Anolis sagrei: one gene and its partners. Each later gene encodes a partner of the first gene's protein in a complex. Links are inferred from orthologs where the notes say so. Each region holds a gene or a part of one and is shown in the gene's direction. Other genes may lie near its edges. The genes, in order: POLE3, POLE4 and POLE2.

What was found.
Region 2: POLE3 (region 1) and POLE4 share a complex: the UniProt entries of both Homo sapiens proteins name them as parts of the DNA polymerase epsilon complex. The link is inferred for Anolis sagrei from reciprocal best matches to the Homo sapiens genes POLE3 and POLE4.
Region 3: POLE3 (region 1) and POLE2 share a complex: the UniProt entries of both Homo sapiens proteins name them as parts of the DNA polymerase epsilon complex. The link is inferred for Anolis sagrei from reciprocal best matches to the Homo sapiens genes POLE3 and POLE2.

What each region holds. Positions count from the first base shown.
Region 1 is NC_090031.1:15,839,062-15,849,884, forward strand, and holds POLE3 (DNA polymerase epsilon subunit 3), read left to right. Parts: upstream 1-6,378; 5' UTR 6,379-6,397; coding exon 6,398-6,463; intron 6,464-6,555; coding exon 6,556-6,641; intron 6,642-8,176; coding exon 8,177-8,295; intron 8,296-8,401; coding exon 8,402-8,580; 3' UTR 8,581-9,054; downstream 9,055-10,823. Other genes in the region: C11H9orf43 (uncharacterized protein C9orf43 homolog), read right to left, coding at 1,663-1,762, 3,597-3,777, 3,895-4,057. UniProt on the Homo sapiens protein: Accessory component of the DNA polymerase epsilon complex. Participates in DNA repair and in chromosomal DNA replication.
Region 2 is NC_090034.1:61,632,113-61,642,312, forward strand, and holds the start of POLE4 (DNA polymerase epsilon subunit 4), read left to right. Parts: upstream 1-5,141; 5' UTR 5,142-5,164; coding exon 5,165-5,353; exon of another isoform or gene 5,354-5,377; intron 5,378-7,358; coding exon 7,359-7,443; intron 7,444-7,535; coding exon 7,536-7,577; intron 7,578-10,200. UniProt on the Homo sapiens protein: Accessory component of the DNA polymerase epsilon complex. Participates in DNA repair and in chromosomal DNA replication.
Region 3 is NC_090021.1:340,619,024-340,629,980, reverse strand, and holds the start of POLE2 (DNA polymerase epsilon subunit 2), read left to right. Parts: upstream 1-5,596; 5' UTR 5,597-5,631; coding exon 5,632-5,699; intron 5,700-7,399; coding exon 7,400-7,500; intron 7,501-7,679; coding exon 7,680-7,755; intron 7,756-10,957. UniProt on the Homo sapiens protein: Accessory component of the DNA polymerase epsilon complex. Participates in DNA repair and in chromosomal DNA replication.

The sequences.
Region 1 (10,823 bases):
GTCTCCCTGGCATTTGGGAGGTTGGCATTTCTCAACCTCCCGAATGTCATGATCCCTTAACACATTTCCTCATGTTGTGGTGACCCCTGATCATAAAATTATTTTTGTTGCTACTTCATAACTACAATTTTGCTAACTGTTATGAATTGTCATGTAAATATCTGATATGCAGGATATATTTTCAGTCACTGGACCAAATTGGGAAGAAATACCCAATATGCCAAAATTTGAAAACTGGTGGGGCTGGGGGGGGAGGGGGGGATTGATTTTGTCATTTGGGAGTTGCCGTTGCTGGGATTCATAGTTCACCTACAATCAAAGAGCATTCTGAACTCCACCAACAATGGAACTGAACCAATCTTGGCACACAGAACTCCCAAAATGAACAGAAAATGCTGGAAGGCTTTGATCGGCATTAACCTTAAATTTTGGAGTTGTAGTTCACCTACATCCAGAGAGCACTGTGGACTCAAACAATGATGGATCTGGACCAAACTTGGCACAAATCCATATAAATAAAAATGTAATGTTCGTTTGTGGGACTAACATAACTCAAAAACCACTGGACTAATTGACACCAGAGAGCACTGTGAACTCAAAACAATGATGGATCTGGACCAAATTTGGCAGAAATCCATGTAAATAAAAATGTAATGTTCGTTTGTGGGACTAACATAACTCAAAAACCACTGGACTAATTGACACCAAATTTGGACACAACACACCTATCAGGCCAACGAGTGACCACCACTCATAAAACACTGAAAAACACAGCAGAAGAGACTTAAAAAGCCAAAAAATAAAAAATAAATTAAAACACATGATCAAAAACACACATATATAGACAAACACACATATATACACATATACACAAATATATACACACATATATACACACACAAAATACATATACACAGGCTGGTCACAGCAACGCATGGCAGGGGACTGCTAGTACTCAATAGGCCCAAATGTGAACACTGGTGAAGTTTGGGGAAAATAGACCTTGACATTTGGGAGTTGTAGTTGCTGGGATTTACAGTTCACCTAAAATAAAAGAGCATTCTGAACTCCACCAATGATGGAACTGAACCAATCTTGGCACATGGAACTCCCATAACAAACAGAAAATACTGCAAGGGTTTGGTGGGCATTGACCTTGAATTTTGGAGTTGTAGTTCACCTACATCCAGAGAGCACTGTGGACTCAAACAATGAAGGATCTGGACCAAACTTGGCACAAATACTCGATATGCTCACATGTGAACACTAGTGCCTTGCATAATTACATTTGGTTGTATACCACTTGAGAAGATTCTACTCAAACAGGATTTTACCTCTTCTCTAAAAGTTTACGGTCTCTAAAAGGTCATGATTTTCTATAATAACTAGCAATGATGAGCATCCTTCTTCACCATCCCAACTGATCTGTACTTCTGCATAACAGCAGGAGCTTAGGGATGTTTCTTCTATTGGACACACTGCTCCAGCAGCCGTTGTGGAGCGTGAACCCACTTCTTCTTTCCACCCGAGTCCCTTTTGATTTGGTGTGGGCTCAAAGAGAAGCTTGGGACAAACCAGCAAACCGGGCAGGGTTGAACCTTGCAGGCCGAGGGGATCCCAAACTCCCCCCCCCCCCCCCGCTCTCCTTTGCCCTTAACTCACTTGTTCGAGTTGCCTCGAGCAGCTAAAGCTGAATGGTGAGAGGTGCGGGGTGTGAGAATCCATCCGGGAGTTCAGCCCTGGGAAGGGATTCCTTTCAGAACTGGAGGGCAGACAAGAGAGCAGAAGCCATGTTGGAAAAGGCAAGGCAAGCAGGTACAAAGCAAGGTGGCACATCTAACTCTGGGGCTTATGGCTGCACACAGCGCTGAGCCGAGGACCCAATTCAATGAATAACACATAAATTGGACTATTGCAATGCGCTCTACGTGGGGCTGGTACAACAGGCAGCAGCCAGGCTCCTTACTGGAGCAAACTATAGGAAGCATACTACGCCCCTATTAAAACAGCTGCATTGGCTGCCGACAAGTTGCCGAGCCAAATTCAAGGTGTAGGTAATGACCTATAAAGCCCTAAACGGTTCGGGGCCCACCTATCTTCACGATCGCATCTCCATCTATGAACCGGCGCGAACTCTAAGATCCTCCAGGGAGGCCCTCCTCTCGCTCCCACCTCCGTCACAAGCACGGTTGGTGGGGACGACAGAGAGGGCCTTCTCGGTGGTGCCTCCCCACCTCTGGAATGCCCTTCCAAGGGAAATGAGATAGGCCCCATCCTTCCTCTCTTTTCATAAGATTTGATGACTTGGTGATTTAAGTGATCAGTGTTAGCTCAGCCCAGACACTGTCCGAACATGACCTAGCCCCCTATTTATTTCCCTGGTCATTCTCCTAACAGGCCCCTGCAAATAACATGTCCCCGCTTTTGTCGTGACCGCATTTCTGTGTACGAACCCACACAATCTCTTCGATCATCTGGAGAGGCCCTGCTCACGCTCCCACCTCCTTCGCAGGTGCGATTAGTGGGGACGAGGGAGAGGGCCTTCTCGGTGATGGCCCAACTCTGGAACTCACTTTCCAAGGACATCAGGCATGCCCCAACTCTGACAGTCTTTAGGAGGAGCCTGAAAACGTGGTTGTTCCAGTGTGCCTTCCCAGAATAAGGAAAATTCTCAGCAATATGCCCTCAAAATGCACTTTACCACTGATTTGAGATTGACTGCGTTCCCTCATCTCTCTCTGAAAACCCTATACCAGTTATATCCTACCTTGTTCATGCCCAGCATTATTTTTTAAACTATTACATTTGGCCCGGCCATAGGTTTTTAAATCTTTGTGTGTTATTGTTTATTGTTTATATGTGATTTATATTAACTGTATTGTATGTATTGTTTTTGTTTATTGCTTTTGTTTATTGATGTATTGTTGGGCTTGGACTCATGTAAGCCGCTCTGAGTCCCTTGGGGAGATGGTGGCGGGGTATAAATAAAGTTTTATTTTATTATTTTATTTATTATTACAGTACTGTACTCAAATGCCGGTCCCATCTTATTTCAATTTGTATCAGTCTTGATCCAGCCTTTTTAATTGTCCTGACCCATTCCTTTTCCATGCCCTAACAAATAGACATGAAGAGCAGGCAGGATTTTTTTTCTTTTAATATTTATGTGTTGTTAGGTAATTCCATGCTTATGTTGCTGTTACTGTTATTTTTTTGTACATGTTGTGACTCTATGTTTTGATGTTGTTGCTTGGAAACCACCCTGAATCCTCCCAGGGAAGATAGAGCAAAAATATAAAGAAAAATTATTATTATTATTATTATTATTATTAATAATAATAATAATATCCAGACCCTTCACAAAGCTAGGGAATTTTGTTATGAAGCTTCACTTCATCCAACCGCCTTGTCCAGACACACTGGACCCCACTGCCAGCTGGGCATATCAGTGGAAGGACTGGATGAGTTGCATTGGGCACCAAAATGCATTCAGGGCCCTTTAAAAAGTGGATCTAGTTTCCTAGGATGTGTGTGGCACATCAGAAAAGTGTAAATCCCTATGCACTGCCATCCCAAATGCTGAGTTTGTGACTAACCTCATTACCGAGACTGGGGGTATCCAAGTATCATTCGGGGTACAATTTGAAAAATAACTTCTGGTGTCTTTCGTACGGGAGACAGTTTTGGAAACGGAACTGTAGCTTTTGCTGCACTTGACTCCCTGTTTCTGAGGGCAATTGAGAGGAAGGTCTATGATTTTCAGTGTGGGCAGCTCACCTGAAATGTGCGGAAAACACAGTCACAAAACCAGGCTCAAAAGGAACAGGATCATTGTCCCTGAAGGAAGAGGCTCCTCCCTCCAGGCTCCAGGTGCAATACGGAAGGTGGGATTACCTTCACAATCTGGAGACTCTCTCTCAGGGGAGGCCAGGGCCCCCAAGACTATCCGGGGGTGCCCACTTTCAATCCTCCGCAGCGTCTCCCAGCAAAGAGGGTGCTGGCAAGGCATCATGTCGCAAATGGTCTCGTCCCATTGTTTGGTATCTACTCCCACCATCCTGGCCGCTCTGTCCCAATGTCACATTACTGCACATAAATAGCAAAAAGAACCCAGTATAAGCAAGAGGATTTCCCAGGGTTATATTCTAGAACGACACACCAACAATGACTCCTCAAGGTCCTTCGAGGTCTGTTGGATGCCGAGCCTTCCTTATCTAGGACTCAGAGAACATCTACGGTCGGTGAAATCTCTCTCCTGGCTGAAAAATTTCTATATAGAATCCTCTAGTCCATCCCCCCTCTGGCCAGGTAGGAAGGCACCATACAAACCCTTCTGACAGATGGCCATCCAGCAATAGATATGAGTGAGAAAGAGTAGATACACAGATGTGGTAGGTAGATAGATAGATAGATGGATATGATTAATATATCATAAAATCGTAGAGGTGGAAGAGACCCCAAAGACCCCCTAGTCTGGCCCCCTTTGGCCGGGCAGGAAGGCACCATACTTCACTTCACTTCACTTTATTTCTTAATTAGCACAATTTAAAATAGCATTTACACAATATAAAAACATACAAACCCTCCTCACAGATGGCCATCTGGCCATAGATATGATATGGTTGAGAGAGAGAGAGTAGTTGCATAAATGTGGTACATGTATATATATATGTGTGTGTGTGTATATATATACTATATATACTGTATATACTCTGTGTGTGTGTATATGTATATAAAATGATTAATATATCATAGAATCCTTGAGTTGGAAGAGACCCCAAAGACCATCTAGTCCATCCCCCTTTGGCCAGGCAGGAAGGCACCATACAAACCCTCCTGGCAGATGGCCATCTAGCCATACTGCACATGCTCTGTGTGTGTGTATAATGATTAATATATCATAGAATCCTAGAGTTGGAAGAGACCCCAAAGACCATCTAGTGTCTATCCCCCTTTGGCCAGGCAGGAAGGCACCATACAAGCCCTCCTGACAGATGGCCCTCCAGCCATAGATGATATGGTTGAGAGAGAGTAGATACACAGATGTGGTGTATATGTATGTATATGTGTATGTATATATATGTGTGTGTGTGTATGTATATATATATATACACACACACACTGGAGATATATATATATATATATATATATATATATATATTATTAACATATCATAGAATCCTAGAGTTGGAAGAGACCCCAAAGACCATCTAGTCCAGCCCCCTTTGTCCAGGGAGGAAGGCACCATCCAAATTCTAGGGGGTGAGAAGGGCGGGGTAGAAATGCCCGAAATAAATAAATAATTAATTAATTCTCCTGACAGATGGCCATGACAAACCTCTCAACCTCTGAGGATGTCCGTCATAGATGTGGGCGAAACACACAGGAGACAATGCTTCTGGAACATGGCCAGACAGCCCGGAAAACTCACAGCAACCCAGTGATTCCGGCCGTGACAGCCTTCGACAACACTGGCTATTATATGGTTGAGAGAAGAGATCTCAAAGGCCATCCAGTCCAACCTAAAAAGGCACTATCCAAACTGTCTTGGCAGGTGGCCATCCAGCCATAGATAGAAGGCCGAGAAAGAGATATGTTTGACACACACACATACACATATCAAAAGAATCCTAGAGTTGGAAGAGACCCTCAGGGCCATCCAGTCCAACCCCCTTCGACTATAAAGGACTTCAAAGCACTCCCAAGAGACGGCCATCCAGCCTCTGCTTAAAAACCTTGAGAGCAGACTCCAAGGAAACATATTTCACTGTGGAACAGCTCTGACCACCAACAAACAAGCCTGCTTCCTCCTCTCCATGATTTCCCCTCACATCTTGATAAATGGCCCTCATCCTGACTCCTCTCAGCCTTCTCTTCTGCAGCTCTTTCAGCCGCTCCTCATAGGGCTTGTTCTCCAGACCCTTGATTCCCACAGCCATCTTGTATCCAACTAAACATCCCTAACTTTCACTCCTCACAGGTTTCCAATTCTTTGACCATTTTGGTCACCCTTCTCTGGACCCCTTCCATCTTTTATCAATATCTTCCTTGACTTTTCCTCCTAACGTACATTCTGAGGGGTTGGGAGCACTCTGTGCATGCTCAGAGGCCTCTCCTTCGCCAGTGTGGAGGTTAACAGCGCATTCCACGTGATCCTCAGCCCGCTCAAGGCGAAGGAGGCTTTGCGCCTCCGAAAGCGGGAAGGCCTTCCGTTGCTGGGCAACGCGCGGCTTGGTTTCCCAGTGTGCACCGCGCGGCGGCAAACTCACCACTTCCGGGTCCAGAAAGAGAGCTTGAGAGAGGCGGCTGCTTTGCTTTGGCGCGCGGCTTCGGAGGTTCTGCGCATGCCCAGAGCTCGGCTCTTACTCGAGGGAAGGCTTTTGAGGCCTGCGGCATTATGGCCGAGCGGCCGGAGGACTTGAACTTGCCCAATGCCGTGGTCACACGGATCATTAAAGAAGCCGTGAGTCCCGGGGAAGGAGGAGGAGGAGGAGGAGGAAGGGGGCTAGCTTCGTCCCCTGTCCGCCTGACCCTCTTGTCTTTCTCCCTTTGCAGCTCCCCGACGGCGTGAACGTCTCGAAAGAGGCCCGGAGCGCTGTGTCCCGGGCAGCCAGCGTCTTCGTGCTCTACGCCACGTCCTGGTGAGGCCTAGCCGAGGGAGGAAGCGCTCAATAGACTCATTCACCCCTCCTGTGCCAGCCAAAGCCTCTATATCAGACTTAGGCAAACTTGGACCCTCGAGGTGTTTTGGACTTCAACTCCCACAATTCCTAACAGCCTCAGGCCCTTTCCTTTTGTCTGGGGAGGTCCTGCTCTCAGTCCTGCCTTCTTCACATGAATGATTGGCGGGGACGAGAGACAGGGCCTTCTTAGTGGTGGCCCCTCAGCTATCGAACTCCCTCCCTAGGTATATTAGATCAGCCCCCTCCCTCCTGACCGTCTGGAAAAAGTAAAATCCTGGCGCTTTGAACAGGTTTTTGGAAATGCAGGGCAATATAGAGCCAAAGCCTCTATATCAGACTTAGGCAAACTTGGACCCTCGAGGTGTTTTGGACTTCAACTCCCACAATTCCTAACAGCCTCAGGCCCTTTCCTTTTGTCTAGGAAGGTCCTGCTCTCAGTCCTGCCTTCTTCACATGCATGACTATCGGGGATGAGAGATGGGGCCTTCTCATTGGTGGCCCCTCAGCTATGGAACTCCCTCCCTAGGTATATTTGATCAGCCCCCTCCCTCCTGATCTTCTGGAAAAAAGTAAAAACCTGGTGCTTTGAACAGGTTTTTGGAAATGCAGGGCAATATAGAGCCAAAACATAGAGGGTCCAAGAGGATCTAAGTCTATATCTTAGGCAAACTTGGACCTTCTAGGTGTTTTGGACTTCAACTCCCACAATTCCTAACAGCCTCAGGCCCTTTCCTTTTGTCTGGGGAGGTCCTGCTCTCAGTCCTGCCTTCTTCACATGCATGATTGGCGGGGACGAGAGACAGGGCCTTCTTAGTGGTGGCCCCTCGGCTATGGAACTCCCTCCCTGGGTGTATTAAATCAGCCCACTCCCTCCTGACCATCTGGAAAAAAGTAAAAACCTGGCGCTCTGAACAGGTTTTTGGAAATGCAGGGCAATAGACAAATATGGAATTATGTAAGTTTGAAACACGGAATGGCTTAGAGAACCTGCTCCTATTTTTCTCTCATTAGAGTTTTTTAATCATTTTATCCTGTACATCTGGCCCGCCCACTGTTATCGTGATGGTGTTTATTGGAATGTTATTTTGTTACTGTGTTTATACTTTTTTTCTATGTAATTTTGATGATGTTGCTTGTTGTTTATGTTCTGGTTTTATTTTGCTGTAACATGTTTTGCTTGGCCCCATGTAAGCCACTGCGAGTCCCCATTGGGGAGATGGTGGCGGGGTATAAATAAAGATTATTATTATTATTATTATTATTATTATTACCCCATCTAACACAAGCTGTAACCCTATCCCCTGTTCGGCCTTTCGACTGACCAGGAGTACCTCTGTCTTGTCTGGATTTAGTTTCAATCTGTTTGCCCTCATCCAGACCGACAGAGCGGCCAAGCACTGATTCAGGACCTGCACAGCCTCCTTAGTGACAGTATTTAACTAGAGACAAAAATGGTTTTCCTTTCCCTCTTTTCTGCCCCTCTCTGCCATTAGTGCCAACAATTTTGCCATGAAGGGGAAGCGGAAGACGCTGAACGCGGGGGACGTGCTCTCGGCCATGGAGGAGATGGAGTTCCAGAGGTTCCTCGCCCCGTTGAAGGAGTCCTTAGAAGGTAGTGTGTGCCCCAGCATTCAGGGTGCCGAGTCTGCTGGGCTTCCTGATTCTGTCTTGGTCCGAGGTGCCCCCGATCCTGCTGTAACCTTTCCCTGTCCTTTCAGCTTACAGGAGTGAGCAAAAAGGGAAAAGAGGCGCCTTGGAGCTCAAAAAGAAGGACCGAGACAAGAAGGAGGGCTCTGAAGACCCCGAAAAGAGCCAGGAAGAGGAGAATGAGGAGGAGAGGATGATGGAGGAGGAGGAGCAGAACGAGGAGGAAGAGGAGAATGAGGAGGAGGGCTGAGGCAGCACAGGATCCATTGCCTCCTGCCAAAGGACTCCCTCAAGCTGCGGCCACTGTTTGGCTGGAAGGCACCACACCGAAGTCTCAGGCTCCCTCCAGCTACTCCTAGTGCTGTAGTCTTGCTAAAGAGCCCCCGTCTTCCCACAGACTTCTGGACAGCTTTTTATATGCAAAACAGTGTGTCTTGATCCCATAAAAGGATCTTTTAGGGCTCCTGGGGTCATGCCTGGTGTTGGATTTGGGGGGCAAAAATGGGTAACATGAAGGGAGGGGGCATTGGGGAATGGGCAGCCCTTGGCTTGGGCCTCCTTTCTTCCTCCCAAGTTGCTTCTCTCACAATGTGCCTTCTCTTTGGGGCAAGAAGGTTTGGGCATTTTGTTTTTCCCAGAGTTCACTGCTCTGACCATTCTGTTGTATTTCCAGTATCTAAGTCTCATTTTTGTGTTTCAATAAAGGTGCTGAATCACTTCAGAACTCTACTGATTTCTGTGTTTTAGATGTGACGGGGACAGTCAGCTGGAGATGTTCCCCCCCCCCCAAAAAAAGCTGCGATGGCCTTGTTACTGTTACTGTTTATTGTTTATATGTGATTTATATTAATTGTATTGTTTTTATTGCTTTTATTGCTTTTGGTTTTATTGATGTGTTGTTGGACTTGGCCTCATGTAAGCCTCTCTGAATCCCTTGGGGAGATGATGACAGGGTATTAAAAATATTATTATTATTACTATTACTATTATTATTATTATTATTATAAGAGCCACAATCTGCCCTTCGCAGCCTGAGAGGAGGAGGGTTTCCTTGCCAGGACCTGCCAGGAAGAGCCTCTCTGTAGCAATACAGTGTTCCCTCACTTATGCCGGTCTGATTGTCTTCGGGGATCCCTCTGACATCCCCTCGTGACCCCCCCCAGGGGTCCCGACCCCCTGGTTGAGAAACAGTGGTTTAAGTCCACAGTGCCCTTGAGATGTAGGTGAACTACAACTCCAAACTCAAGGTCAATGCCTATCAAACCCTTCCAGTATTTTCTATTGGTCATGGGAGCGCCACGTTTGGTTTAATTCCATCATTGGTGGAGTTCAGAATGCGCTTTGATTGTAGGCAAACTATAAATCCTAGTAACTACAACTCCCAAATGACAAAATCAACAACCCCACCAGTATTCAAATGTGGGCGACCGTATAGGGTATTTGTGCCATACTTGGTCCAGTGAATGGAAATCCATCCTGCATATCAGATATTTATATGACGATTCGTAACAGTAGCAAAATGACAGTTATGAAGTAGCAACAAAAATATTATGGTTGGGGGTCTCCACAACATGATGAAGGGTATCAAGGGGTTGTGGCATTAGGAAGGTTGCAAAACACTGCCGTAGAAACTCCACTCTTAACCCAGGAGATGGCAGCAGTGGGCAAACCATGCTTCTGGCCCTTTAAGGAGAGAGTATGGGCATCAGGAGGGAGTGGTTATGCAGTCCAAGGGGTGTGCTTATGCAGGGGCTGCTGGGAAAGTGGAAGAGAAGAAGGGAAAGTCTTTGCCTGCCTGATCCCCTGCCATTTGCTGTCCTGTACAAGGCAAGTATTGGAGCAGGGCTTTGAGAGGAAGGGGCTCCCAAACCCATTGCTATTATGGAACAGGCCCTTGAAGGCGACCCAAAGGGAGTTCTCACCTGGGGATTTGGGTGTGGGAGTGTGTGAAAAGTCAGGATCAGCATTGGGACCTTCTCCAAAGGGTGGGGGAGAGGTGTGTCCAGAAACTTGCACAAGCAGTCAAGAGTTGGGCTGACGAAACCCGCATGCACGCACCCACACAGAAGTGCTTTTTCATCCCCTATTACAGGTCACTGGGTTGGTTTCAAGCTTTACGTTGTTTCTGTAATTATTGTATTTTGTTCATTTGCACCTTTGAGAGCTTTGTAAGCCGCCCCAAGTCTTTCTGGGAGATGATGGCAGGGTATGTATAAATAAATAAATAAATAAATAATAATAATAATTATTATTATTATTATCATCCATTGCATGGATGTTATAGCTGTACCTGCTTTGTTTACCTTTTGTAAGACTGGAGGTCAGGGTTTGGATCCTCCCTTGACCACGCTAAACCCTCATTGGCTGAAGCTTGGTGGGTTCCACTCTCTGAGACCCCAGGAGAGAAGTACCACAGTGACTTGAAGGCTCACAACCGCACACCATTGTCCTTTTCTTTCCTTCTCCTCCTCTTCCAGGGCGAGTCTCTTGGCA
Region 2 (10,200 bases), on another chromosome or scaffold:
GGCACTGTCATAAGTCCTGTCCCTGCGGGAAAAACAAAGGTCTTAGTCTTAAGGGATTGGCAGGGCAGGCAGGCGGTCAAATATAGATCTCAATGGGGGAAGGACGGAGAGAGGGATGCACTCTGCACATGGCCAAGAAGAGTAAGAATAAGAAGAATGGAGAGGGATGAAATCTGCATAATAATAACAACACTAACAATAATATCAGAGAGGGAGGGGTGAAATCTGCATAATAATAATAATAACAACAACAACAACAACAACAACAACAACATAGTAAAGGTAGTCTCCTGACATTAAGTCCAGTCATGTCTGACTCTGGGGTGTGGTGCTCATCTCCATTTCTAAGCCGAAGAGCCAGCGTTGTCCGTAGACACCTCCAAGGTCATGTGAATTGGAAGAGACCTGGTGGGCCACACAGTCCAATCCCATTTTGCCAACAAGCAGGAATATCATCTTCAAAGCCTCCGACAGATAGCCATCCAGCCTCTGCTTCAAAGCCTCCAAAGAAGGAGCCTCCACCACAATCAAGGGCAGAGAGAGAGTTCCACTACTGAACACCTCTCACAGTTAGGAAGTTCTTCCTCATGTTCAGGTGGTATCTCCTTCCTTTCCTGTAGTTTGAAGCCATGGTTCCATTGCGTCATAGTCTCCAGGGCAGCAGAAAACAAGCTTGCTCCCTCCTCCCTATGACTTCTCCCCTCATATTTATACACAGCCCTCATAATGTGTCCTCTCTGCCTTCTCTTCTGCAGGCTAAACATGCCCGGCTCTTTCAGCCGCTCCTCATAGGGCTTCAGACCCTGGATCCTTTGAATCGCCCTCTTCCTCTGGACACATTCCAGCTTAGAGTCAACATCTCCCTTCAATTTGGTGCCCAGAATCAGACACAGTGTGATTCCAGGCAAAGTGGTCTGATGAAGACAGAAGAGAGGGGTAGCATGACTTCCCTGGATCACTAGACTCCTCTTGATGCAGGCAAAAATCCCATTGGCTTTTCAAGCTGTTGCATGACATTCCTGGCTCATGTTCCCCTTCCTCCTCACGAGGACTTCAAGGTCTTTTCCCCACGTCCTACTGTCGAGCTAGCCATCATCCCCCATTCTGTCTCTGTGCATTTCATTTTTTTCTGCCTGAATGGGATATCTTGCATTTGTCACTGTGAGAAGGATGCACTCTGAACATGTTCAGAGGCAACCCAAGGGTGGATAATAATAATAATAATAACAACAACAACAACAACAACAATGGAGAGGTGCAATTGCGTAATAGTAATCCTCATCATATCAGAGAGGGATGCACTCTGCACATGGCAAATAATCATCATCTTTGTCGAAGGCTTTCATGGCTGGAATCACTAGGTTCTTGTGGGTTTTTTCGGGCTATAGAGCCATGTTCTAGAGGCATTTCTCCTGACGTTTCGCCTGCATCTATGGCAAGCATCCTCAGAGGTAGAGACCTCTACCTCTGAGGATGCTTGCCATAGATGCAGGCGAAACGTCAGGAGAAATGCCTCTAGAACATGGCTCTATAGCCCGAAAAAACCCACAAGAACCTAATCATCATCTTTATTTATATCCTGTCATATCAGAGAGGGATGCACTCTGCACATGCTCAGAGGCAATCCCAATGAGGGGAAATAATAATAACAATAATAATATTGCAAAAAGAGGGATGCACTCTGCACTATATTAATAATAATAATAATAATAATAATAATAATATAGAGAAGGATACACTGCATAATAATAAGGGAAGGATGCACTGTGAAGAACTTAACGGTGAAAGAGAGCTTTTCAGCAGTGGAACTCTCTCCCTCTCTGTCCTGGAGTATGATGGAGGCTCCTTATTTGGAGACTTTGAAGCAGAGGCTGGGTGGCCATCTGTGGGGGGGGGGGGGGGGGCTTTGAATGTGATTTTCCTGCTTCTTAGCAGAATGGGTTGGACTGAATGCACTCTGCATAATAATAATAATAATATAATAATGAAGGGAGGATGCATTGAATAATAATAATGACAGATGCACTCTGCATAATAATAATGATGATAATAATGAGGGAAGGATGCACTCTGAATAACAACAACAATAATAATAGAGAGGGATGCACTCTGCATAATAATAATAACAATAATAAAGAGAGGGTTGCACTGAATAATAATAATAAAGAGGGAAGGATGCACTCTGCATAATAGTAATAGGGAGAGATGCACTTTATATAATAATAATAATAATAATAATAGAGGGAGGGATGCACTGAATAATATTAGGGAGCGTTATATTGTATTATTTCATTATTATTATTATAATTATATTACTATATGTATTATTATTATACCATTATATTAATACTTTGTGTTGTCATATTACAATATGAGCATCACCCCCTCAGAGTTGGATATGACTAGTCTTAATGTCAGGGGAAACCTTTACCTTTACCTATACTATGTTACTATATTATCATTGTTATATTCTTCTCTATACCTCCCTGTCTCCCCCTATTCTATGTCACTATACACCTGTATTATTAATTTTGTTATATTAATAATTCTATGTTATTATATCACTATTATTATCTTCTTCTTCCCAAGAGCTCTATGCCTCTCCATCTTCTATGTTATATCATTATATTATTATATTGCTATATTTATTAATTAATATTATATGGTGTTATATTATTATATTACGATAAAGCAGATTACAGGAGCTGTCTTCATAGACCTGTCAGCAGCCTATGATACTGTGAACCACCGCCTCCTCCTGAGAAAAATGTATAATATCACAAAGGACTAACACCTCACCCGCCTCATAGGAAACCTGCTACAAAACAGGAGCTTTTTTGTTGAGTACCAGGGCCAGAGAAGCAAATGGCGGAAACAGAAGAACGGCCTGCCTCAGGGGAGCGTGCTTGCTCCATCCATGTTCAACATCTACATAAATGACCAGTCACTGCCAGAAGGGACAGAGAGCTTCACCTATGCTGATGATCGTGCCATTACTGCTCAAGCAGGGAGCTTTGAGATGGTTGAACAGAAGCTCTCCGAAGCTCTAGGTGCCCTTACTGCCTATTACAGGAAAAATCAGCTGATCCCTAACCTATCAAAAATACTGACATGTGCTTTTCATCTCAAGAACATACAAGCATCCCGAGCTCTGAGGATCACCTGGGAAGGAATCCCACTGGAGCATTGCAGCACACCCAAATACCTGGGAGTCGCTCTGGCCTGTGCTTTTACCTACAAGAAGCACTGCCTGAACATCAAGCAAAAAGTGGGCGCTAGAAACAATATCATACGAAAGCTGGCTGGCACAACTGGGGAATCACAACCAGATACAGTGAAGACATCTGCCCTTGCGCTGTGCTACTCTGCTGCTGAATACGCATGCCCAGTGTGGAACACATCTCACCACGCTAAAATAGTGGATGTGGCTCTTAATGAGACATGCTGCATTATCACGAGGTGTCTGCGCCCTACACCACTGGAGATATTACACTGTTTAGCCGGTATTGCACCACCTGACATCCGCCAGGAAGTAGCAGCCAATAATGAAAGGACCAAGGCAGAGACATCTCCAGCTCATCCCTTGTTTGGGTATCAGCCAGCACGACTTAAATCAAGAAATAGTTTTCTAAGATCTACAGAGACACTCGCTGGAACACCTCAGCAAGCGAGAGTCCAAAAGTGGCAGGCTCAAACCCAGAACCTGAATCAATGGCTGATACCAAATGAGAGACTCCCCCCTGGGCACACAGAAGACTGGGCGACTTCAGAGGCACTCCAAGTGGTCAGATACTGGTCAAAGGACATTTAATCAACTACCAAGCTTGCAAACTCTGTTTTGTCTGTTTGTTAAAATTTGTTAAAAATGTAATACAATTATCTGGTTGATACTGACACGATAAATAAATGATAAAGTAATTATATTTACTATATATTTATTATATTAATATTATACGGTGTTATACATATATTATATTATTTATTATTATATTAATATTCTATGTTAGGGTATATAATTATTATTGACAAGTTAGAGAGTTGGGCCAAAACTAACAAAATGAAGTTCAACAGTGACAAATGCAAGAGACTCCACTTTGGCAGGAAAAACGAAATGCAAAGATACAGAACGGGGGACAATGCCTGGCTCAAGAGCAGTACGTGTGAAAAAGATCTTGGAGTCTTGGAGTTTAACTTGTGGACAACAAGTTAAACATGAGCCAACAATGTGATGTGGCGGCAAAAAAAGCCAATGGGATTTTGGCCTGCATCAATAGGAGCATAATGTCTAGATCTAGGGAAGTAATGCTACCCCTCTATTCCGCTTTGGTTAGGCCACACCTGGAATATTGTGTCCAATTCTGGGCACCACAATTCAAGAGAGATATTGACAAGCTGGAATGTGTCCAGAGGAGGGCGACTAAAATGATCAAGGGTCTGGAGAACAAGCCCTATGAAGAGCGGCTTAAGGAGCTGGGCATGTTTAGCCTGAAGAAGAGAAGGCTGAGAGGAGATATAATAGCCATGTATAAATATGTGAGAGGAAGCCACAGGGAGGAGGGAGCGAACTTGTTTTCTGCTTCCCTGGAGACTAGGACGCGGAACAATGGCTTCAAACTACAAGAGAGGAGATTCCATCTGAACATTAGGAAGAACTTCCTGACTGTGAGAGCCGTTCAGCAGTGGAACTCTCTGCCCCGGAGTGTGGTGGAGGCTCCTTCTTTGGAAGCTTTTAAACAGAGGCTGGATGGCCATCTGTCCTGGGTGATTTGAATGCAATATTCCTGCTTCTTGGCAGAATGGGGTTGGACTGGATGGCCCATGAGGTCTCTTCCAACTCTTTGATTCTTTGATAAACGATAAAGTAATTATATTTACTATATATTTATTATATTAATATTATATGGTGTTATGCATATATATATATATATATATATATATATATATTATATTATTATATTTATTATTATATTAATATTCTATGTTAGGGTATATAATTATTATTGTGATCTTTTTCTTCCCTAGAGCTCTCTGACTCCCCCTAGAGAGCTTTGGCGGGAAGGGCCAGTGAAAGCCGGGCAGAGGGGGCGTGGCTTCCCGCGGCATGAAGGCGGGGCCTGAGGCCTTGATTTGCGTACCGCGTGGCGCAGGCGCAGTAGCGGCCAACATGGCAGCAGCGGTTCCTGAGGTAAATGTCGCGGCGGCGCTTCCCAGCGAAGAACCGGAGGCGCCACCCACTACCGCAACGGCCCGCCCGGCTCGCTTGCCTTTGTCCCGGGTGAAAGCGCTGGTCAAAGCCGACCCGGATGTCAGCCTCGCCAGCCAAGAAGCCGTCTTCATCTTGGCCCGCGCTACGGTGAGACTGAGACTGCGCATGCGAGGGGTGGAAGGGGGCAATCGCCTGGCCAATCAGAGCGTTCGTTTGCTCCCGGTAGGCGGAGACTGCGTGTGGGCGTGGCTACCCCCGCGCGCTTTTTAATGCTGGCCAATCTCGCCGCTGTGGGCGTGGCCAATACCAGGGTGCAGGGGGCGTGGCTGAAGAGAGGGTGGCGTTGTTTCACCAACAGGGGGCGCGCGTGCTTTCCTTGAAAAGTTTGGGAAAGTTTTCACTGTATTGTCGAAGGCTTTCATGTCTGGAATCACTAGGTTCTTGTGGGTTTTTTCGGGCTATATGGCCATGTTCTAGAGGCATTTTCTCCTGACGTTTCGCCTGCATCTATGGCAAGCATCCTCAGAGGTAGTGAGGTCTGTTGGAATTAGGAAAAAGGGTTTATATATCTGTGGAATGGCTGGGGTGGGGCAAAGAGCTCTTCCCTGCTGGAGCTAGGTGTGAATGTTTCAACTGACCACCTTCATTAGCATTTGAAGGCCTGGCTGAGCATGGGAAAATCTTCTGTTGAGAGGTGTTAAGATGTGCCTTGTTGTTTCCTCTCTGCTGTTTTGCTGTTGTAATTTTTGAGTTTTTTAATACTGGTAGCCAGATTTTGTTCATTTTCATGGTTTCTTCCTTTCTGTTGAAATTGTCCACATGCTTGTGGATTTCAATGGCATCTCTGTGTAGTCTGACATGGTGGTTGTGAGAGTGGTCCAGCACTTCTGTGTTCTCAAATAATATACTGTGTCCAGGCTGGTTCATCAGTTTTCACTTTTTGAAGAATTGCATGTTTATTGTATTGTCGAAGGCTTTCATGGCCGGAATCACTGGGTTATTTATTTATCGTGTCAGGAGCAGACCAAACAGTTGTGTTTCATTTTTTAACAAACAAACAGAACACAAAGTTTTCAAGCTTGGTATTCTATTAAATAGGGGGTGTCATAAGGCTCACCAAAGGACACCAGAAAACACAGTATTTTTGTTGGTCATGGGTGTCTCTGTGTGGGAAGTTTGGCCCAATTCTACCATTTGTGGGGTTCTTTGATTGTAGGGGAACTATAAATCCCAGCATCTACAACTCTCAAATCTCTATTTCCCCCAAACTCCATCTGTGTTCATATTCAGGCATATGGAGTATTCATGACAAGTTTGTGAGAAGCCATTGAAATCCACAAGCATGTGGACAATTTCAACAGAAAGGAGGAGACCATGAAAATGAACAAAATCTGGCTACCAGTATTAAAAAACTCTAAAATTACAACAGCAAAACAGCAGAGAGGAAACAACCAGGCACATCTTAACAACTCTCAACAGAACATTTTCCCAGGCTCAGCCAGGCCTTCAAATGCTCATCAAGGTGGTCAGTTGAAACATTCACACCTAGCTCCAACAGACAAGAGTCCTTTGTCCTACCCTGGTCATTCCACAGATATATAAACCCATTTTCCTAATTCCAACAGACCTCACTACCTCTGAGGATGCTTGCCATAGATGCAGGCGAAACGTCAGGAGAAATGCCTCTAGAACATGGCTCTATAGCCCGAAAAAACCCACAAGAACCTAGTGATTCCAGCCATGAAAGCCTTCGACAATACATTAAATCCTTCATTGTTTGAGTCCGCAGTGCTCTCTGGATGTAGGTGAACTACAACTCCCAAATTCAAGGTCAGTGTCCACCAAACCCTCAGTTTCATCATTGGTGGAGTTCAGAATGCGCTTTGATTGTAGGTGAACTATAAATCCCAACAACTACAACTTCCAAATGACAAAATCAATTTTTTCAGTGATGATAACTCCTTGCATTAGTAGGTGTCTTGTGGCCAAATTTGGCAGCATAATTGCGGATTTTGAGTTAGGATGTCACTCAAAACGAATAGAGCATTTTTTATACATAGATAATAATACAATGTATCATGATGCTATAATAAATAATATAATACAAATATTATATAATAACAATCTCTATCTCTCTCTATATATATTGCAGGAGCTGTTTGTGGAGACCATTGCCAAGGACGCCTTCATCTTTGCCCAGCAAGGCAAGAGGAAGACCCTCCAGAGGAAGGACTTGGGTGAGAAATAATACAGAAATAATAATAATACAGAAATAATAATAATAATACCTCCTTATTAATTCCATTTTTGTTTTATGCCTCACCTGCAGACAACGCCATTGAAGCCGTGGACGAATTTGCCTTCCTGGAAGGTAAGCGGCCCATTGGAGTCAATACTGGGTTGCTGTGAGTTTCCTGGGCTGCCTGGCCATGTTCCAGCAGCATTCTCTCCTGTCATTTCCTCAGAGGTTGTGAGGTCTGTTGGAAACTGGGCAAGTTGGGTTTATATATTACTTACTTACTTACTTTACTTACTTAGGCGATCCCTCGTTGGACGAGTAAGATGGTCTTCCATGATGGGTTTCTTTGTGGATTCGTAGGAGGCAGTGGAGCCCTATTCTTGACCCGCATCTTCTCCCACGGTGAAGGCATTGGTTTCCAGGCATTGGTTTCCTCCTGGCACATTTTTCTCTTTCACCCTCCACTCATGCCTCCTCGAATTCTGCAGCACTGCTGGTCACAGCTCACCTCCAGCTGGAGCGCTGAAGGGCCAGGGCTTCCCAGTTCTCAGTGTCTATGCCAGAGATTTTAAGATTGGCTTTGAGGCCATCTTTAAATCTCTTTTCCTGTCCACCAACGTTCCGTTTTCCATTCTTAAGTTCGGAGTAGAGCAACTGCTTTGGGAGACGATGGTCAGGCATCCAGACAACGTGGCCGGCCCAGCGGAGTTGATGGCAGAGGACCATCGCTTCAATGCTGGTGGTCTTTGCTTCTTCCAGCACGCTGACGTTTGTCCGCTTGTCTTCCCAAGAGATTTGCAGGATTTTCCAGAGGCAGCACTGATGGAATTGTTCCAGGAGTTGCATGTGACGTCTGTAGACAGTCCACGTTTCGCAGACATAGAGCAGGGTTGGGAGGACAATAGCTTTATAGACAAGCACCTTGGTATCCCTACGGATGTCCTGGACCTCAAACACTCTCTGCTTCATTCGAGAAAATGCTGCACTTGCAGAGCTCAGGCGGTGTTGTATTTCGGTGTCGATGTTGACTTTGGTGGAGAGGGGGCTGCCAAGGTAGCGGAAATGGTTAACATTTTCTGGGTTTATATATATATATACCTGTGGAATGATGTCCAGGATGGGAGAAAGAACCCTTGTCCGTGTGAGGCAAGTGTGAATGTTGCCATTGGCCAACGTAAGTAGCATTAAATGACCTGTAAAATCAATCAGTGAGGGGAATCTGCATAGAGGGAGCCTGGCCTTTGTTGCCTGGAGGCACCCCCTGTGGAATAATGTCCAGGGTGGGAGAACGGACTCTTGTCTGCTTGAGGCAAGAGTGAATGTTGCAATTGGCCACCTTGATTAACATTGAATGACCTTACAGCTTCAAAGTCTGGCTGCTTCCTGCCTGGGGAATCCTTGGTTGGGAGGTGATAGCTAGACCTGATTGTTTCCTGTCTGGAATTCCCCTGTTTTCTTGCCTCCCACTCTGGACATTTTTCCACAGATATATCAACCGCATTTTCCTAGTTACCAACAGACCTCACAACCTCTGAGGGTGCCTGCCATGGATGTGGGCAAAACAGCAGGAGAGAATGTTTCCTGAACAGGGCCACACAGCCTGGAAAACTCACAACAAACCAGTGATTCTGGCCACGAAAGGCTTCGACAACACATAATTAATACTATTGTCTAGATTATGATGATGATCATAAATGTATTACATAGTTTGGACAGTTTATTTCTCTGCCACATTATTCACCTTCTGGTCTTGTCTATTTTAGATTATAATAATATATTATATTATATACTAGCTGTCCCCTGCCACGCGTTGCTGTGGCCCAGTCTAGTGATCTGGAAAATAAATTAATAAGAAAGTGTTGGTTTCTAATATATGTAATTCCTTTCTGCTTGTGAGTAAACAGTATTTCGTGTTGTTTCTTTGTCAGTGTTGATGTGGAGAGTGTCTGGTTTGCCTACTCTGGAACATGCCACATACCATAGTCCTCCTTTAAGGGTCTCTTTCAAATCTATGATACCATATCTGTGTGTGAGAGAGAGAATCATATCTATCTATCTATATTTATGACTGGATGGCTCTTTGTCAGGAGGGCTCTGATTACATTTTCTTGCCCTGGTGAAGAGAGTTGGACTGGATGGCCTTAAGTATTCTCTGTTGGTCATGGGAGTTCTGTGTGGGAAGTTTGCCCCATTTCTGTCGTTTGTGGGTTTCAGAATGCTCTGTTGGTCATGGAAGTCCTGTATGCCATGTTTGGTTCAATTCCATCATTGGTGGAGTTCAGAATGCTCTTTGATTGTAGGTGAACTATAAATCCCAGCAACTACAACTCCTAAAATGTTGAGGTCTATTTCCCTTAAACTCCATCTGTGTTCATATTTGGGCATATGGAATATTTGTGCCAAGTTTGGTCCAGATCCATCGTTGTTTGAGTCCACAGTGCTCTCTGGGTGTGGGTGAACTATAATTCCCAAACTCAAGGTCAATGCCCACCGAACCCTTCCAGTGTGTTCTGTTGGTCATGGAAGTCCCATATGCCATGTTTGGTTGAATTCCATCATTGGTGTTCAGAATGCTCTTTGATTGTAGGTGAACTATAAGTCCCAGCAACTACAACTCCCAAATGTCAAGGTCTATTTCCCTTAAACTCCATCTGTGTTCATATTTGGGCATATGGAATATTCGTGCCAAGTTTGGTCCATCTCCATCATTGTTTGAGTCCACAGTGCTCTCTGGATGTGGGTGAACTATAATCCC
Region 3 (10,957 bases), on another chromosome or scaffold:
ATATTATCCATATATTATCCATAATATATTATATATATTATTATAATAATACTAATAATATTAATAAACAAACACCAAACCAGCTGTACTTCTCCACTAGGCCTCAGAAATGGATATGGGAAATGGATATAACATTAATATGGAAATATAATAATAATATTTCCACCAGAGTGGAAATCATCTATTGGATAGATGGGAAGCTGTTGAACCGCAGCGACTGAAAGACAAAACCAAGGTTACAACAACATCTGTTATAGAACTCCAGTATGCGGATGATAACGTCGTCTGTGCTCATTCAGAAGAAGACTTACAAGCCACTCTCAACACAGACGCATACACGAAGGTATTTGAAGGACTTATCTCCCTTGATGAACCCCTCAGAGCTTATTTTCCATCTTCATCACTATGATACTTCATCTTATTGATGGGAAGCTTCCCACCAGAGTGGAAATCATCTATTGGAGAGATGGCAAGCTGTTGAACCTCACCAGACTGAAAGCCAAAACCAAGGTTACAACAACATCTGTTATAGAACTCCAGTATGCGGATGATAACGTCGTCTGTGCTCATTCAGAAGAAGACCTACAAGCCACTCTCAATACAGACGCATACAAGAAGCTATTTGAAGGACTTATCTCCCTTGAACCCCTCAGAGCTTATTTTCCATCTTCATCACTATGATACTTCATCTTATTGATGGGAAGCTTCCCACCAGAGTGGAAATCATCTATTGGAGAGATGGCAAGCTGTTGAACCTCACCAGACTGAAAGCCAAAACCAAGGTTACAACAACATCTGTTATAGAACTCCAGTATGCTGATGACAACGTCGTCTGTACGCATTCAGAACATCTACAAGCCACGCTAAACACCGGAGTGGAAATCAAATGTCAGATAGATGGCAAGCTATTTAACTTTAGCAGACTGAAAGCCAAAACCAAGGTCACAACAACATCTGTAATAGAACTCCAGTATGCTGATGACAACGTCGTCTGTGCTCATTCAGAAGATCTACAAGCCACGCTAAACACCGGAGTGGAAATCAAATGTCGGACAGATGGCAAGCTATTTAACTTTAGCAGACTGAAAAACAAAACCAAGGTCACAACAACATCTGTTATAGAACTACAATATGCTGATGACAACGTCGTCTGTGCGCGTTCAGAAGATCTACAAGCCACTCTAAACACCGGAGTGGAAATCATCTGTTGGACAGATGGCAAGCTATTTAACTTTAGCAGACTGAAAGCCAAAGCCAAGGTCACAACAACATCTGTTATAAAACTCCAGTATGCTGATGACAATGTCGTCTGTGCTCATTCAGAAGATCTACAAGCCACGCTAAACACCGGAGTGGAAATCATCTGTGGCACAGATGGCAAGCTATTTAACTTTAGCAGACTGAAAAACAAAACCAAGGTCACAACAACATCTGTTATAGAACTCCAATATGCTGATGACAACGTTGTCTCTGCGCATTCAGAAGAAGATCTGCAAGCCACTCTAAACACCCAAGTGGAAATCATCTGTCGGACAGATGGCAAGCTATTTAACTTTAGCAGACTGAAAGCCAAAACCAAGGTCACAACAACATCTGTTATAGAACTCCAGTATGCTGATGACAACGTCGTCTGTGCGCATTCAGAAGAAGATCTACAAGCCACTCTAAACTCCCGAGTGGAAATCATCTGTCGGACAGATGGCAAGCTATTTAACTTTAGCAGACTGAAAGCCAAAACCAAGGTCACAACAACATCTGTTATAGAACTCCAATATACCGATGTTCAGACTTTCATATAAACACCCACAAAAGTGGCATCTGTAGACAGTCCACCTCTCACAGGCGTATAGCCTTACCCTTACCTTAGGCGATCCCTTGTTGGACAAATAGGATAGTCTTCCAGGATCAGTATTCTTGTGCATCCGTAGGTGACTGTGGAGCCCAATTCTTGACCTGCATCTTCTCCAACAGTGAGGGCATTGGTTTCCAGGTGGAAGCCTTTCCCAGTGAGGGTTGGCTTGACGTGCCTTCTTCTTGGTACATTTTTCTCTTTTGTCCTCCATTCGTGCCTCTTCAAATTCTGCAGCACTGCTGGTCACAGCTGACCTCCAACTGGAGCACTCAAGGGCCAGGGCTTCCCAGTTCTCAGTGTCTATGCCAGAGTTTTTAAGGTTGGCTTTGAGGCCATCTTTCAATCTCTTTTCCTGTCCACCAACATTCCGTTTTCCGTTCTTAAGTTCGGAGTAGAGCAACTGCTTTGGGAGACGGTGATCGGGCATCCAGACAACGTGGCTGGTCCAGCGGAGTTGATTGCGGAGGACCATCGCTTCAATGCTGGTGATCTTTGCTTCTTCCAGCACACTGACGTTTGTCCGCCTGTCTTCCCAAGAGATTTGCACGATTTTCCGGAGGCAGCGCTGATGGAATCATTCCAGGAGTTGTACGTGACATCTGTAGACAGTCCGCGTCTCGCAAGCGTATAGCAGGGTTGGGAGGGGAATAGCTTTATAAACAAGCCCCTTGGTCTCCCTATGGATGTCCCGGTCCTCAAACACTCTCTGCTTCATTCAGAAAAATACTGCACTCGCAGAGCTCAGACGATGTTGTACTTCGGTGTCGATGTTGACTTTGGTGGAGAGGTGGCTGCCAAGGTGCCGGAAATGGTCCACATTTTCTAATGTTACACCATTAAGCTGTATTTCTGGCATTGGAGAGGGATTGGCTGGTGACTGCTGGAACGGCACTTTGGTTTTCTCGATGTTTATTGAGAGGCCGAGCTTCTCGTATGCTTCTGCAAAGGTGTTTAGAGTGGCTTGTAGATCTTCTTCTGAATGCGCCCAGACGACGTTGTCATCAGCATACTGGAGGGGACTCAGGGCGGAGCACCAAGAATCTCTATGAAAATATAATATTAATAAGCATCTGCATGCAAATATGCTAATAATAATCATAAACATATGTGTGGAAATATAGTATTACTAGTAATAATAATAATAAATACCAATACAGCTTTATTTTATCACCCCACAAGGCTCCAGACTGTGAGAAATAGATATATTTATATGGCAGTTAATGGAAATTCAGACCAAGGGAGCATCTACACTGTGGAATTAACCCAGTTTGACTCCACTTGAACTGCCATGGCTCAAGACTGTGGAGTCCTGCTGTAGTTTAACAAGGCCTTTCGCCTGTTTCACCAAACCATGATTCCATAGCATTTTGCCATGATAGTTAAAGCGGTGCCAAACTGCATTAATTCTACAGTGTAGATGCATTGCACACAATGACAACTAGATTGACAGCTTATTCCTTCCTCCCTTCCTTCCTTCTCCTTCCTTCCTTCCTTCCTTCTCCTTCCTTCCTTCTCCTTCCTTCCTTCCTTCTTTCCTTCCTTGCTTCCTTCCTTCCCCTTCCTTTCTTCTAATTCCTTCTCCTTCCTTCCTTCTCCTTCCTTCCTTCTCCTTCCTTCCTTCTCCTTCCTTCCTACTCCTTCCTTCCTTCTCCTTCCTTCCTTCTCCTTCCTTCCTTCCTTCCTTCCTTCCTTCCTTTTTTCCTTCCTTCCTTCCTTCTCCTTCCTTCCTTCCTTCCCCTTCCTTCCTTCTAATTCCTTCCTTCTTCATTCCTTCCTTCCCCTTCCTTCCTTCCTTCTTTCCTTCCTTCCTTTTTCCTTCCTTCCTTCCTTCCTTCCTTCCTTCGCCTTCCTTCCTTCCCCTTCCTTCCTTCCTTCCTTCCTTTTCTTCCTTGCTTCCTTCCTTCCCCCTTCCTTCCTTCTAATTCCTTCCTTCCTTCCTTTTCCTTCCTTCCTTCCTTCCCCTTCCTTCCTTCTCCTTCCTTCCTTCCTTCCTTCCCCTTCCTTCCTTCCTTCTCCTTCCTTCCTTCTCCTTCCTGCCTTCTTTCCTTCCTTCCTTCCTTCCTTCTTTTTTCCTTCCTTCCTTCCTTCCTTCCTTCGCCTTCCTTCCTTCCCCTTCCTTCCTTCCTTCTTTTCTTCCTTGCTTCCTTCCTTCCCCTTCCTTCCGTCTAATTCCTTCCTTCCTTCTAATTCCTTCCTTCCTTCCTTCTCCTTCCTTCCTTCCTTCCTTTTTTCCTTCCTTCCTTTTTTCCTTCCTTCTCCTTCCTTCCTTCGCCTTCCTTCCTTCCTTCCCCTTCCTTCCTTCTTTCCTTCCTTGCTTCCCCTTCCTTCCTTCTAATTCCTTCCTTCTCCTTCCTTCCTTCCTTCTCCTTCCTTCCTTCCTTCCTTCCTTCCTTTTTTCCTTCCTTCCTTCCTTCTCCTTCCTTCCTTCCTTCCCCTTCCTTCCCCTTCCTTCCTTCTTTCCTTCCTTCCTTCCTTCCTTCCCCTTCCTTCCTTCTAATTCCTTCCTTCTCCTTCCTTCCTTCTCCTTCCTTCCTTCCTTCTTTCCTTCCTTCCTTCTAATTCCTTCCTTCCTTCTAATTCATTCCTTCCTTCCTTCTCCTTCCTTCCTTCTAATTCCTTCCTTCCCTCCCTCCCTCCCTCCTTCCTTCCTTCCTTCCTTCCTTCCTTCTCCTTCCTTCCTTCCTTCCTTCCTTCCTTCCTTCCTTTTCCTTCCTTCCTTCCTTCCTTCCCCTTCCTTCCTTCTCCTTCCTTCCTTCCCCTTCCTTCTCCTTCCTTCCTTCCTTCTCCTTCCTTCCTTCTCCTTCCTGCCTTCTTTCCTTCCTTCCTTCTTTTTTCCTTCCTTCCTTCCTTCCTTCCTTCCTTCGCCTTCCTTCCTTCCCCTTCCTTCCTTCCTTCTTTTCTTCCTTGCTTCCTTCCTTCCCCTTCCTTCCTTCTAATTCCTTCCTTCCTTCTAATTCCTTCCTTCCTTCCTTCTCCTTCCTTCCTTCCTTCCTTTTTTCCTTCCTTCCTTCCTTCCTTCCTTCTCCTTCCTTCCTTCCTTCGCCTTCCTTCCTTCCTTCCCCTTCCTTCCTTCTTTCCTTCCTTGCTTCCCCTTCCTTCCTTCTAATTCCTTCCTTCTCCTTCCTTCCTTCCTTCTCCTTCCTTCCTTCCTTCCTTCCTTTTTTCCTTCCTTCCTTCCTTCTCCTTCCTTCCTTCCCCTTCCTTCCCCTTCCTTCCTTCTTTCCTTCCTTCCTTCCTTCCTTCCCCTTCCTTCCTTCTAATTCCTTCCTTCTCCTTCCTTCCTTCTCCTTCCTTCCTTCCTTCCTTCTTTCCTTCCTTCCTTCTAATTCATTCCTTCCTTCCTTCTCCTTCCTTCCTTCTAATTCCTTCCTTCCCTCCCTCCCTCCCTCCCTCCTTCCTTCCTTCCTTCCTTCTCCTTCCTTCCTTCCTTCCTTCTAATTCCTTCCTTCCTTCCTTCCTTCTCCTTCCTTCCTTCCTTCCTTCCTTCTTTCCTTCCTTCCTTCCTTCCTTCCTTCCTTCCTTCCTTCCTTCCTTCCTTCCTTCCTTCCTTCCTTCCTTCCTTCCTTCCTCAGTGAAGAATAAAACCAAAGTTTCCCAAAACTCTGTTTGCAGGTACTTGGGACTCTATTTCCCAGGATGCCTCCTCATTGGTCAAAGCAGCTGAGGCTTCTGGGAGTTTCAAGACTAGGAACCCGCTTTTCTACCACAAGGGGGCGGGGCCTGTCAGGAAAGGGGCGGGGAAAGGGGCGGGGCCTCACCGTTGGCGCCAAAGTTCCAAAATGGCGGCGGAGAAGCTGAGGGGGAAAGTGGGCGCCGCCTTCAAGATGCACGGCCTGCTGCTCCGCGCGTGAGTAAACCCTTTCCTCGGGGTCGGGTGGGCGCCTCTCTCGTGGCCGTGGCAAGCGAGGAAGGCCTTCGTGGAGGAGAGAAGATCTACGGCTCAGTCAAGGCCAATCTCTAAGCCCCAAGTGCTTTTGGACTTCATTTCCCAGAAGCCTCTGCCACTTAGGCTAAGGAGATGGCATTCTGGGAAATGGGGTCCAAAGGCATGGAAAGGCAGATCTTGGGCAATACTGAAGGAAAGCAGCCTAGAATCATGCAATCTAGTTCCAAATGGTTCATGAGATTATCTAGTTTAATAATCTGGATTATGTGGCGGTGTAGACTCACTTAATCCGGTTCCAAACAGATTGTGTCATTACATAGTTTAATAATCTGGATTATATGGCAGTGTAGATTCATGTACCCCAGTTCCAAGCAGATCATGTCATTACCTAGTTTACTTATCTGGATTATTTGGTGGTGTAGACTCATGTACTCCAGTTCCAAGCAGATCATGTCATTATCTGTTTTAATAATCTGGATTATTTGGCACTGTAGACTCATGTAATCCGGTTCCAAGCAGATCATGTCATTACCTAGTTTAATAATCTGGATTATATGGCACTGTAGACTCACACAATCTGGTTCCAAGCAGATCATGTCATTACCTAGTTTAGTAATCTGGATTATATGGCACTGTAGACTCATGTAAATCATGTCATCTAATTTTGTAATCTGGATTATATGGCGGTGTAGACACACTTATCCGGTTGCAAGCAGCTCATGTCATTACCTAGTTTAATAATCTGGATTATATGGCACTGTAGACTCACGTAATCCTGTTCCAAGCAGATTATGTCATTATCTAGTTTAATCATCTGGATTGTACAGTCATGCAATCCAGTTCCAAGAAGATCACGTCATTTACCTAGTTTAATAATCTGGATTATATGGCAGTGTAGACTCATGAACTCCAGTTCCAAGCAGATCATGTCAATATCTATTTTAATCATCTGGATTATATGGCAGTGTAGACTCACTTAATCCTGTTCCAAGCAGATCAGGTTATTATCTAGTTTAGTAATCTGGATTATATGGCACTGTAGACTCATGTAAATCATGTCATCTAATTTTATAATCTGAGTTATATGGCGGTGTCGACACACTTACTCCGGTTGCAAGCAGCTCATGTCATTACCTAGTTTACTAATCTGGATTATATGGCAGTGTATACTTATGTAGTCTGGTTCCAAGCAAATCGTGGCATTATCTAGTTTCATAATCTGGATTATATGGCAGTGTAGACTCACTTAATCCTGTTCCAAGCAGATTATGTCATTATCTGTTTTAAAAATCTGGATTATATGGCAGTGTAGACTCAAATAATCCGGTTCCAAGCAGATCATGTCATTATCTAGTTTACTAATCTGGATTATTTGGCAGTGTAGACTCACCTAATCCGGTTCCAAGCAGATCATGTCATTATCTAATTTAATAATCTGGATTATATAGCAGTGTACACTCACTTAATCCTGTTCCAAGCAGATCATGTCATTACCTAGTTTAATAATCTGTTGAAATTGTCCACATGCTTGTGGATTTCGCCTTCGACAATAATCATCATCATCATCTGCCATAAATCTGCACTGTAGATGCACACAATGACAACTAGACTGACAGGTTATTCACACTTTGGGTATTTCTTCTTCTTCTCTCTTCCGTTAGTGAAGCTGCTAAATATCTCACAGAAGCTCTTCAAACAGCTAATGAAGTTGAGCTGGAAGACATGATAGAAAATATAATCGACGCTGTTGAAAAACAGCCTTGTAAGTAATGCCGTCTGTTTTCTACAATGGTTTAAGAAGGAAAGGGTGGGATACTTAACGTTTCTGTGGCTTCTGATGGGATTTGTGATTGTAAACTAGGTTTTGTCATAAGCTTTTTAAGCGTGCTCCTCAATAACTACATAGGAAACCATTTTGTATTTTTACATTCTTCTTTTCAGTGACATGTAACATGATTGAAAAGTCCATGGTGGAAGCAGCCGTCCTGGAGTGCAGCCAGTCTGTAGACGAAACCATGTATGTTTACATTCGTTTACTTCAAACAAGCAGGAGCTTTTGATGCAGTCTAGTTTGGTTGATTGTCTTGTTGACTTCCATTACTTTGATTGGCTGATATTTCAGATTTTAGTGTCATTAATATTCATGTACACCAGGCATGGGGAAACCACCGCCTCCTCCTGAGAAAAATGTACACTATCACAAAGGATGACCACCTCACCCGTCTCATAGGAAACCTGCTACAAAACAGGAGCTTTTTTGTTGCGTTCCAGGGCCAGAGAAGCAGATGGCAGAAACAGAAGAACGGCCTTCCTCAGCGGAGTGTGCTCACTCCATCCATGTTCAACATCTACACAAATGACCAGCCACTGCCAGAAGGGACAGAGAGCTTCATCTATGCTGATGATCGTGCCATTACCGCTCAAGCAGGGAGCTTTGAGATGGTAGAACAGAAGCTTTCCGAAGCTCTAGGTGCTCTTACTGCCTATTACAGGGAAAACCAGCTGATCCCTAATCCATCTAAAACACAGACATGTGCCTTTCACCTTAAGAACAGACAAGCATCCCGAGCTCTGAAGATCACCTGGGAAGGAACCCCACTGGAGCATTGCAGCACATCCAAATACCTGGGAGTCACTCTGGACCATGCTCTTACCTACAAGAAGCACTGCCTGAACATCAAGCAAAAAGTGGGTGCTAGAAACAATATCATACGAAAGCTGACTGGCACAACCTGGGGATCACAACCAGACACAGTGAAGACATCTGCCCTTGCGCTGTGCTACTCTTCTGCTGAGTATGCATGCCCAGTGTGGAACACATCAGACCACGCTAAAACAGTGGATGTGGCTCTTAATGAGACATGCCACATTATCACGGGGTGTCTGCGCCCTACACCACTGGAGAAATTACACTGCTTAGCCGGTATTGCACCACCTGACATCCGCCGGGAAGTAGCAGCCAATAGTGAAAGGATCAAAGCAGAAACATCTCCAGCTCATCCCTTGTTTGAGTATCAGCCAGCACGCCAACGACTTAAATCTAGACATAGTTTTCTAAGATCTACAGAGACACTCGCTGGAACACCTCAGCAAGCAAGAGTCCAAAAGTGGCAGGCCCAAACCCAGCACCTCAACCAATGGCTGATACCCAATGAGAGACTCCCACGAGATGCAGAGCCAACCTCAAGAAATGGGGCCACAAAGTGGAATCCTCGGTATGCGAGTGTGGAGAAGAGCAAACCACTGACCACCTGCTGCAATGCAACCTGAGCCCTGCCACATGCACCATGGAGGACCTTCTTGCAGCAACACCAGAGGCACTCCACGTGGCCAGATACTGGTCAAAGGACATTTAACCAACTACCAAACTCACAAGATGTGTATTTTTCTGTCTGTTTGCTTTGTTCTGTTAGAAATGTAATATATAATGGACTGGTTGCTCTGACACGACAAATAAATGGGGAAATTTCTGCCCTTTCTCCAGGTGCTTTGAACTTCAACCCCCACAATAACTTGTGAGAGCCAGTAGGCTGTTAGGAGTTGTGAGAGTCCAAAAACACCTGCAGGGAGGGCTGAAGTTTGCCCATACGTGGTGTAGTGTAATGTCAGTATTAATATGGCATCCATTCATTGATTTTTTTGCATGAGCAGCTAAATAATGTAGAGAGGGTTGACAGAATTTCCTGCAAATCCAAAGTTTGGGAGTTTATTGTTCAAATAATGTTGTCTTTGGATTAGTGAAGGCTTTCATGGCCAAAATCATTGGATTGTTGTGAGTTTTCCAGGCTGGCCATGTTCCAGAAGCATTCTTTCCTGACGTTTCACCTGCATCTATTTATTTATTTGTTTGTTTACGACTTTTATATGCCACCCTTCTCACCCAGAAGTGGACTCAGAGTGGCTTGCAAGAGATATATACTGTTTCAAGATTGGGAAAGGCGTCCGGCAAGGCTGCATACTCTCACCCAACCTTTTTAACGTGTATGCAGAACACATCATGTGAGGATGTGCGGGGCTTGAGGAATGCAAAGCTGGGGTGAAAATTGCTGGAAGAAACATTAACAACTTCAGGTATGCAGATGACACCACTCTGATGGCCAAAAGCGAGGAGGAGCTGAGGAGCCTTCTAATCAAGGTGAAAGAAGAAAGCGCAAAAGCCGGGTTGCAGCTAAACATCAGAAAAACCAAGATTATGTCAACAAGAATGATTGACAACTGGGAAATAGAGGGAGAAAACGTGGAGGCCGTGACAGACTTTGTATTTCTAGGCGCAATGATGAGTGCAGACGCAGACTGTGGCCAGGAAATCAGAAGACGCTTCCTTCTTGGGAGGAGAGCAATGTCCAGTCTCGATAAAATAGTAAAGAGCAGAGACATCAGATTGGCAACCAAGATCCATTGCCTAGTCAAAGCCATGGTCTTCCCTGTAGTCACCTACGGATGTGAGAGCGGGACCTGAGGGAAGGCTGAGCGAAGGAAGAGAGATGCTTTTGAGCTGTCGTGTTGGAAGAAAGTTCTGAGAGTGCCTTGGACTGCGAGAAGATCCAACCAGTCCATCCTCCAGGAAATAAAGCCCGGCTGCTCATTGGAGGGAAGGATATGAGAGACAAAGTGGAAGTCCTTTGGCCACATCATGAGGAGACAGCAAAGCCTAGAGAAGACAATTATGGTGGGGAAAGTGGAAGGCAAAAGGAAGAGGGGCCGACCAAGGGCAAGATGGATGGATGGCATCCTTGAAGTGACTGGACTGACCTTGAAGGAGCTGGGGGTGGTGACGGCCGACAGGGAGCTCTGGCGTGGGCTGGTCCATGAGGTCACGAAGAGTTGGAGACGACTGAACGAATGAACTACAACATATTATATTATTAGCATAGGACAATATCAGTATTAAATATTACTATATTGTACTATACCATTACATTGTAATATTATTAGTAATATTACATGTAATATAAATATATAATTATAATATCATATTACTATTATTGGAGCCCCCGGTGACGCAGTGGGTTAAACCCCTGTGCCGGCATGACTGAAGACTGACAGGTCGCAGGTTCGAATCTGGGGAGAGTGTGGATGAGCTCCCTCTATCAGCTCCAGCTCCTCATGCGGGGACATGAGAGAAGCCTCCCACAAGGATGATAAAAACATCAAAATCATCCGGGCGTCCCCTGGGCAACGTCCTTGCAGACGGCCAATTCTCTCACACCAGATTCTCA